Coturnix japonica: one gene and its partner. The protein of the gene in region 1 interacts with the protein of each later gene in a pairwise test. Links are inferred from orthologs where the notes say so. Each region holds a gene or a part of one and is shown on either strand. Other genes may lie near its edges.

The links.
Region 2: the proteins of CHN1 (region 1) and HEMK1 interact in binary tests that used the Homo sapiens proteins (3 or more experiments, as listed by UniProt). The two-hybrid records come from large-scale screens. The link is inferred for Coturnix japonica from reciprocal best matches to the Homo sapiens genes CHN1 and HEMK1.

What each region holds. Positions count from the first base shown.
Region 1 is NC_029522.1:14,962,993-14,966,810, forward strand, and holds part of CHN1 (N-chimaerin), read left to right. Parts: intron 1-2,801; coding exon 2,802-2,975; intron 2,976-3,697; coding exon 3,698-3,775; intron 3,776-3,818. UniProt on the Homo sapiens protein: GTPase-activating protein for p21-rac and a phorbol ester receptor. Involved in the assembly of neuronal locomotor circuits as a direct effector of EPHA4 in axon guidance.
Region 2 is NC_029527.1:947,808-951,625, forward strand, and holds part of HEMK1 (MTRF1L release factor glutamine methyltransferase), read left to right. Parts: intron 1-117; coding exon 118-213; intron 214-1,981; coding exon 1,982-2,095; intron 2,096-2,434; coding exon 2,435-2,471; 3' UTR 2,472-3,818. UniProt on the Homo sapiens protein: N5-glutamine methyltransferase responsible for the methylation of the glutamine residue in the universally conserved GGQ motif of the mitochondrial translation release factors MTRF1, MTRF1L, MRPL58/ICT1 and MTRFR.

The DNA of each region.
Region 1 (3,818 bases):
TCATGCTGCTGGTCAGTGGGTAGGCACTGATGAACTCTGTAAGAAACAGATAAGGTTCTTTGTTATTTTGCAGCAGATCAGGAGTAAAGCTGCTATTGCCAACTTAGCTGCTCTGGATTTATTTTGATATAAGTAGAAATAGGCCTTCAGAGTGAAATCAATAGAATCTTGGTCTTAATCAACAAATGCAAACAGATGATGCAGATATATGCAGACAAGGCAGGCACACCTGAGGTTTCACCATGCAAAAGTGCACAGAGAGAATCAGGTCTATGCTTTCCTGTTTCTTTCTAGCTGATTCTCAAGTAATGGGTTTCAAAGCCTTGATGAAGCATCTGCAATGAGAGCAGAGGGCAGATGTATTTAATAATGCACAATTTGCAGTGTAAGTGCTGTCTTTTAGTACTAACAAGTAAGCTGGATATCATTAGAGCAGAAGGTTGGCACGTTGCACACAGCTCTGTGGAGCAGAGGGTTGACCTTCTGGCTGTGTGCTTTCTACCTTGTCTGAGTCAGTGAGACAGACAGACGGTCATCCTTCAGCCGTGCGTGACTCTGGCTGTCAGCTTGGTCAGAGACCAGTGACTGAGACATGACCCTTAGCTCAGGAGGGGGATTCACCCGATAGAAACCACAGCACTGGGGAGTTTCAGCTCATCTGTTGAAACAGGTAGCTTTTTTCTCTTGAAAATACACTGAAGTCTCTTCCAAGTAGATACTGCTGTCAAGTTGCTAAAGTGAGTGAGTCCCCTACATTCATTGTAAGAGCTAAAGAGCCTTGACTGTTAGAAAGATACTGAATGGCCCAATGGTGTTATTGAAAGCAGTGCTCGTGTGCTTTGTAAGCATTCACTATCTGAAGTATTTCTGGGTTTAAATGTTTCTCAGGAGTGTTCGTAAGCCCTTGAGCAGTGGGTCAGCACGTAAAATCCAGTCAAGTGTAAAGGAAGAACAAAAGATAGAAGGAAAGTTGACTTTTTCTGTTGTAATTCTGGCATTAATTAGGTCAGATCCAAAGCCTATTTGAGTCTGCGGGATTAGCAATAACACAATTATTTTTAGAAGTGAGGTTTTCACATAGGAAACATCTCTGTAAATTAGATATGTTAATGAAATAAAACTTTCTTGTATGTAAATACAATTAGGATGAGCTCAGTGAATGCAATAATTGCTTTAAGTCAAGTATAAGATGCTTGGAAGCATGTTTTTCTATTTTTATATATTTTAGTCTTAATTAGCCTTGGATTCCCAGAAACATAACTGTAAGCTGTATTGCTGTTTATGTGAAGTGGCTAATTTGCACTCAGCAAATGTCTGGTGAGTCCTCATGAGTAAGATGGAACCATTTCAGTCTTGTAGACAGCAGTTCTGACAGACATTGGTAACATTTCTGATAAATGTTTTAATATTCCAACCTTTTCACCCTGATGGAGCAGGTGCTCCTTGGGGCAGCTGTAGCAATTTGTGTACGATCATGATATTTGCAGTCATAAATAGTATTTCTGCTGCAAACTTGGGGTTTAAAACAAGGGAAATCAAGAATTAAGATTTCCTGTGGGATGTCAGGATGTTTCCTTTCCGTGTGTGCAAGAGAGGTATTGCCCCTCATTCTTTGGCTCCATGTTGTTTTGTCTCCGCTGCTGATCCTTGCTCTGGAAGCAGAGAGGATGGCTCTGGCTTGCTAGCACTGCTCAGAATTTTGTTTACTCCTTGCTGTTGAAAGTGGAGCCATTGCTTACCCTGACATTACAGCATTCGAACCCTGCACCAAAAGGTGAGGTGCAGTCCCACAAACAGACAACAAATGTCAATGCCAGAAAAAGCCAGAGCATCCCCTTTCCATTATAGAGCTGAAGCACGGAGGATTATGCTGCAGGATTCAGGTCACACGTTTCCAAAGAGTTTGGGCTCCCTATTTATAGCCTTGAGGGACCTGATTTGTCAGAGATCCACTGAAATGGAGTGTTGGTGGTATTTAAAGCCCCGGCAGAGCCGCCCTCACCCCACTGGCCGATGTGCTTCAAGGTTCTTTGCAGTAATGTGAATAAACTGCTGGCATAATCCAAGGGGAGGCTCTGCAGAAAGCTGTTGATCTTTCAGGTGTCCACATCCCTTCATTCCACTACTGTGGAAGCACAGTGAGCTGGGCCCAGCAGCAGAGCCGCACAGAGATGTGGGCAGGGCTTGGTGCTCTCTGAATACCAGCTGCAGCTTGCACGTGGCCTTGACTGCACAGTGCCACACTTCTTGCTGGCTGCTCCCTCCCAAATGCCTGCAAGTCTCCATTGCAGAACTGGAGAACTTGCAGTGATATCAGGGTGCTGGCTGCTGGCTGGGCACCGCTGCTGACAGAGGCAGCGGCCTGTGCTTAGCTGAAAAGTGACTGTGCTCTATAATCAGTGTTGGTTTCCTGTATGATTGTGGTTTTTTCCCACACCCTGGTTAGTATGTTCTGTGTGGTTTTGAGCAGAACAAACATTTTTCCATAATGTCATTTCAGCTGAACTTCACTTAGGCTAAGTCTCTTCTTCCTTCTGCTGTGGAGCAGTTTGTTCCTGCTTAAAAATAAAGGAATGAAAGAACAAATGAATAAGTAGGTAAATGGAACATCCTCCCAAAGTCACTTCTAAAGTGAATAGAACTGTTCTGGTGACTGCCAGCACAGCTGCACACCCAGCCCGTGGCCTTGCAAAAGCTGTAGCTGCAGGATCAGGTCAGGGTCCTCGTGTGCTCGGCATCCCTGACCTCAGGATCCATCTTCACCAAACACCAGCCTAATTGTCCTTTGTTTTTTCCCTCAGACTGTGGTTTAAATGTGCACAAGCAGTGTTCCAAGATGGTCCCAAATGACTGCAAGCCAGACCTGAAGCACGTCAAAAAAGTGTACAGCTGTGACCTTACCACGCTAGTCAAAGCGCACTTCACTAAAAGACCCATGGTGGTAGACATGTGCATTAGGGAGATTGAATCCCGAGGTAAGGCGTAGTTAATGGGCTCTCGTTGCTTTACTGATAATCCGTTTAGATTGATCTGGGTCATCTGGGTTTCTGCTGAGCGTATGATTGCTCAAAACAGATTTGCACAAGACGTTTTATGACTGCCACTTACCCTACACTGTTAATGTTATACTTCATATTATTTCATGGTTCATACGCGTTTATAATTCTATAGATTTTGCTAGAACCTGCTTAATGGATAATTACTACTTGGTTGTTACATATTGGCACCTGTCTTTCCAGTAATATCTTTAATAAAAGATCAAGTGAATGTGCCAGAATCAAAGCCAGTTAGTGAGGACGTGTTTCCTCTTGCTAGTTCCCATAGTGCACAGATACCCTTTTCTACAATTAGAATATTTATTTTCACTCTGAAATGATGACAGAACATCTCGTATGTTAATCTTGGTTACTTTTAAATCTGCTGTAATTGGCTTAATATGTTTCTTCAGCTCTGAAACCGTTTGCATAAACATAATTAAGTGCTGATATAAGGAAGCAGCTGAAACAAGGGTCAGGGTTAAAAGGGCAGGGTTAAAATCTTAGCCTGCTAAGATTTCATTCTGAAAGAAAAGCCTGATCAGGCCGTTAACTGGTCTGTTTTTCTTCCCTTAAATGAAGAACCTGGCAAAGAAAGGACTGGGTGGAAGGAAGCTGTGAAATTAATACTGATTTTAATCTTGTTGAAATGTTCCCTGCAGGTCTTAATTCCGAAGGACTGTACAGAGTTTCAGGATTTAGTGATCTTATTGAAGATGTCAAAATGGCATTTGACAGAGGTATGTTCTTCCCTTGTGCTGCCGTATTAAATAGACACAGCCT
Region 2 (3,818 bases), on another chromosome or scaffold:
TGTAACGGGGATGGAGTTTATTAGTTGCACCTTTGCCTTTGGAGCAGGGCAGTGCATCCTCAAGGGCATGGCTCATGCATTATGAATTGCTATTAATGCCTTATTTCCAACCTCTAGCTATGAGGACCTTGATGCATTGGATGGGGGAGATGACGGGATGAGAGTCATCAAAACAATTCTGACTCTGGCTCCTTCTCTTCTGAAGGATTCTGGGTGAGTGTGATCCTCCTTTTGAATCTCACATCTTCTCTCCGTATCTGTAACTACTGTTGTTATTTCATACAGGATTGTACTGGGGGAAAATGACTGCAGAAATACCCATCTAGTAATAGTAATACATTTGTATTTATTTACAAAAAAAAATGATGTATATAAGCAAAATCATTAATTTTGAAATGAAGTTTGAAATTCATTAATGTAGGGATATGGGCCTTCTTTAACCAGCGCTGGTGTTTTGTAGACATTAACAAAATTAGAATCTTTAAAACTCAAAGCAGCAACAGAAAGAACAAGAGAGAACAGAGGGAAAGGAAGTACAAAAAAAAAAAAAAAAAAGCTTTCCAAGCAGAAAAGCTGTTAAGGGAAAAACAATATAGTGCTCTGTGAGAATGGGTGTAGATCTGTTTCCCTCTCACTCTTTAATTAGGGAAGCTTGTATGTTATGCCAGGATTCAGTGCTGAATGTCCTGGGAGAATAATGGTAATCAGCGTGAGACTGTTTCTTAAATGTTGGATTTCTGCACAAGGGATGCTTGAGACTGATTGGTTTCTACTTGCTGTCATGGGAGATCCATTTTATGATTGAAGATCAGCATGCTGATATCCAAATGTCTTTTGTGCCCTGCCAGTCTTATATCCTGTTGAAAATTCCTGTCTTTACCAGCGTCAGAGAGATCATTGAAAATCTCTTGTTTTGGGAAGAAGAACAGGAGTACCGAGGAGCACAATGGAAAGAAAAAAGTCCATATTCTTTTGCTCAGCCACAAGAGCAGAAGTTGTTCCCCAGTGCTTCCCAGCGGGAGACATCAGTCCCGTGGGGATGACTGTTAAGATATTTTTCCTAGTCCCTTTTTTGTTTGTTTTATAAGGTGGAGCCCACATTGCGGGGTAGGAGTCTTTTAAGGTCAATAACAAGAACCACACCCAGCCCGTAATTAGTTTGGTGAATTTATAGGGAGTGTTCGGTGTGGGGCTGTTCAGGAATTCTCAAGAGAGTGTAGGGTTGGGGCTTGGCCTCTGTGCTTTGCCTGTTTAACTTGTATCTTGCTAAACTGTCAAAGGCTGTAGTCCATTTCCACCTGCCTGTAACCTGGAGTGGTTCCACCTTGTTGCAGGAGGAGAGTTTCAGAAATGGGCCCATGTCACAAAGCCTGGCTGCAGCCAAGATGGAAATGGTTCTTTGTGACCAAGCTGTGTCCTGGTGCTTTATCTGAAGCTGTCTGACTAGTTCCTTTATCCCTATTGCTCTCTCCTTTGTATAGTCAATCATGTGTAAGACAGTATGACCTGAAACCTGGTGGTGGTTTCATAACTCATCTATGGAGATAATTATCACAGTAAAATGTGTGTACTGACTTGTACTTTGACTCTCACTGCTGGGACTTAATGTCACCATTCTCATACAAAGGAACTCCACGTTTCCAGTCCAGTGTTCAGCATTCGTGCATTTGCATTGTAGAGCAGCATGCTCCACTTTGAATCTTTGTGGGCATCAGAAAGATAAAGCTGGTGGGTGATATTCCTACGCAGGGTTCAGAAGGCTCCTATCATCTCAGTACCAGGTTAAAACTGCTCTTACAGAGGAGTATCATGAAAATTCCCATTAAGATCAACATTTTCTTCCTCTGAAGGAGGCGGTTGGAATCTGTTCTTAAATAGATAGCTGCAGTCTGTTTTAAGATCACTGATTTGCAGCGTTCCATAAAGGAAGATTTTAGTTTTTGTTGGCCTAGCAACCTAGTTATGTGTCACATCTTTTCAGGAGTGTGTTTCTGGAAGTTGATCCCAGACACCCAGGTATGGTGGAGGATTGGCTGTGTGAGCATCCTGACTTGCTCCTCACCCTTCATGCTGTTCACAAGGACTTTTGTGGCAAGTAAGTCTGTTTTACATTCAGATTTTACTTTGAGTATATGACTGTGTCCCATATAAATTAGATCCCTGCAGCCTGATATATTGAATGAAACTCAGCAAGAGAAAGTCAGCAGCTGAAGCCAACCTTTAACAAACCAGGGACTCTTTTCAACTGTCTGAACTTTATTATATCATGAGATAATCTTTTCTGAGTCAGAGATTCTGGCACAGGTGAGCATTTCTGGTGGGGTGACTAGCTCTGATGAAATTACTGCCATTGGTAAGTTGCTGCCTTTATATGATAGAGGTAGAACTGTGTTCACCCTAGCAAGACTTAAAACTGCTTATTTTTCTCCCACAGGCCTAGGTTTCTGCACATCCAAAAGCAAAGCAGATGACAACTGTACCAGAAACAACATCCTTTCTTGCAGTAAGCTTTTTTGCTGGTGAGCCCGTCTTGAATAGCTTGATGAAAGCTGCGTGACAAAAGACATCTCCATTTTCTGGTTTATGACTTCTCCATGCAGTGACAGACCCCTCACTTCCAATACAGATTTAATCTACAGTTGCAAAGGATCACAAGAGTGTTTGGAAGTGTTTAACCTTCCTCAGGGAACTTCGTGAACCTCACTCTGTTCAAGTGACTCATTAAGCTCAGGACCAAATGAGGAAGAGTTCACAGCTCCAGATATTTCCTTGCTGTGATAGCAAATTTCAAGGAAATATGTTAAAGATACAACTCGTCAACATGTTGTATCACTCACTTTGCCTAGAAAGAACATCACCTTTTTTTAACCTTGAGATAAAACTGAAAATGTGACCAACCTGGGTGATAATGGTCCCAACTTTGGCATATAGTATTTCATGAGTGTGCAGTTATATAGTGGGACATGACTAACTTGCACACTTCAAATTCAAGTCTCTTTTTAGGATCCTGATGCTCCAAAAGGAAAGCAGCCTTTGTTTCCTAGTACTGTTGAATGTCACTGAAGCATCATTACACAAGTTATACCATGATTGCTTAGGACAGACAGAGTTCTGCAGCTCAGATAAAGTCATTTTGGTGATATGTGAGTTGAGGAGGATTTTGGAAGAGAACAGACAACAATCTATGGATCAATTAGCCCCTTCCTTTGGAATATACTTGTTTGGACTAGAAGGGAAAGCCTTTTATTTAGGTAGTTAAGGACCACAACTGGGAAAGCACCTCTCCCTGACATACTTTCACTCCATATTTGTGGTTGTATAGAGTCAGTTGAGAGGAAGGAGCTCTTGGTGTTGGTTAAAATTATCTGAATCTACAGCACCTGATACTTTATGGATGCTGCCAGAAACAATAAAACCATCATAAGAAAGGTAGTGTTGTATGTAGGTTAAATTGAGTCTTATAAGAAATGCTTTACAACTGAGTTTTCAAACATGCCAGCTGTTCTGAATAAATATCTGGGATCTTCAAATTGCTTCTGATAGTAATACTAATGCTTAACTTCCAGGTAGGGATTTGGATTGTAAGACTTTACAAAGAAGGCCAGAATCACTGCTTCAGTTTCAGAGAAATCAAAAAGGTGAGGGGAAAAAAAGTTATACAGAATTTGACAACAGGATAAGTCTTAAGTAAGATCCAGTCTCTTGGTACCCACGGGATTAGCTGAGGTCCATTTCTTTGTTGGGGAAGGATGACTTAGGGCTGCCTGAAACATCTTTGTAAGCTTTGTACATGAAATTATGAGCCCTCGTTGGACTGT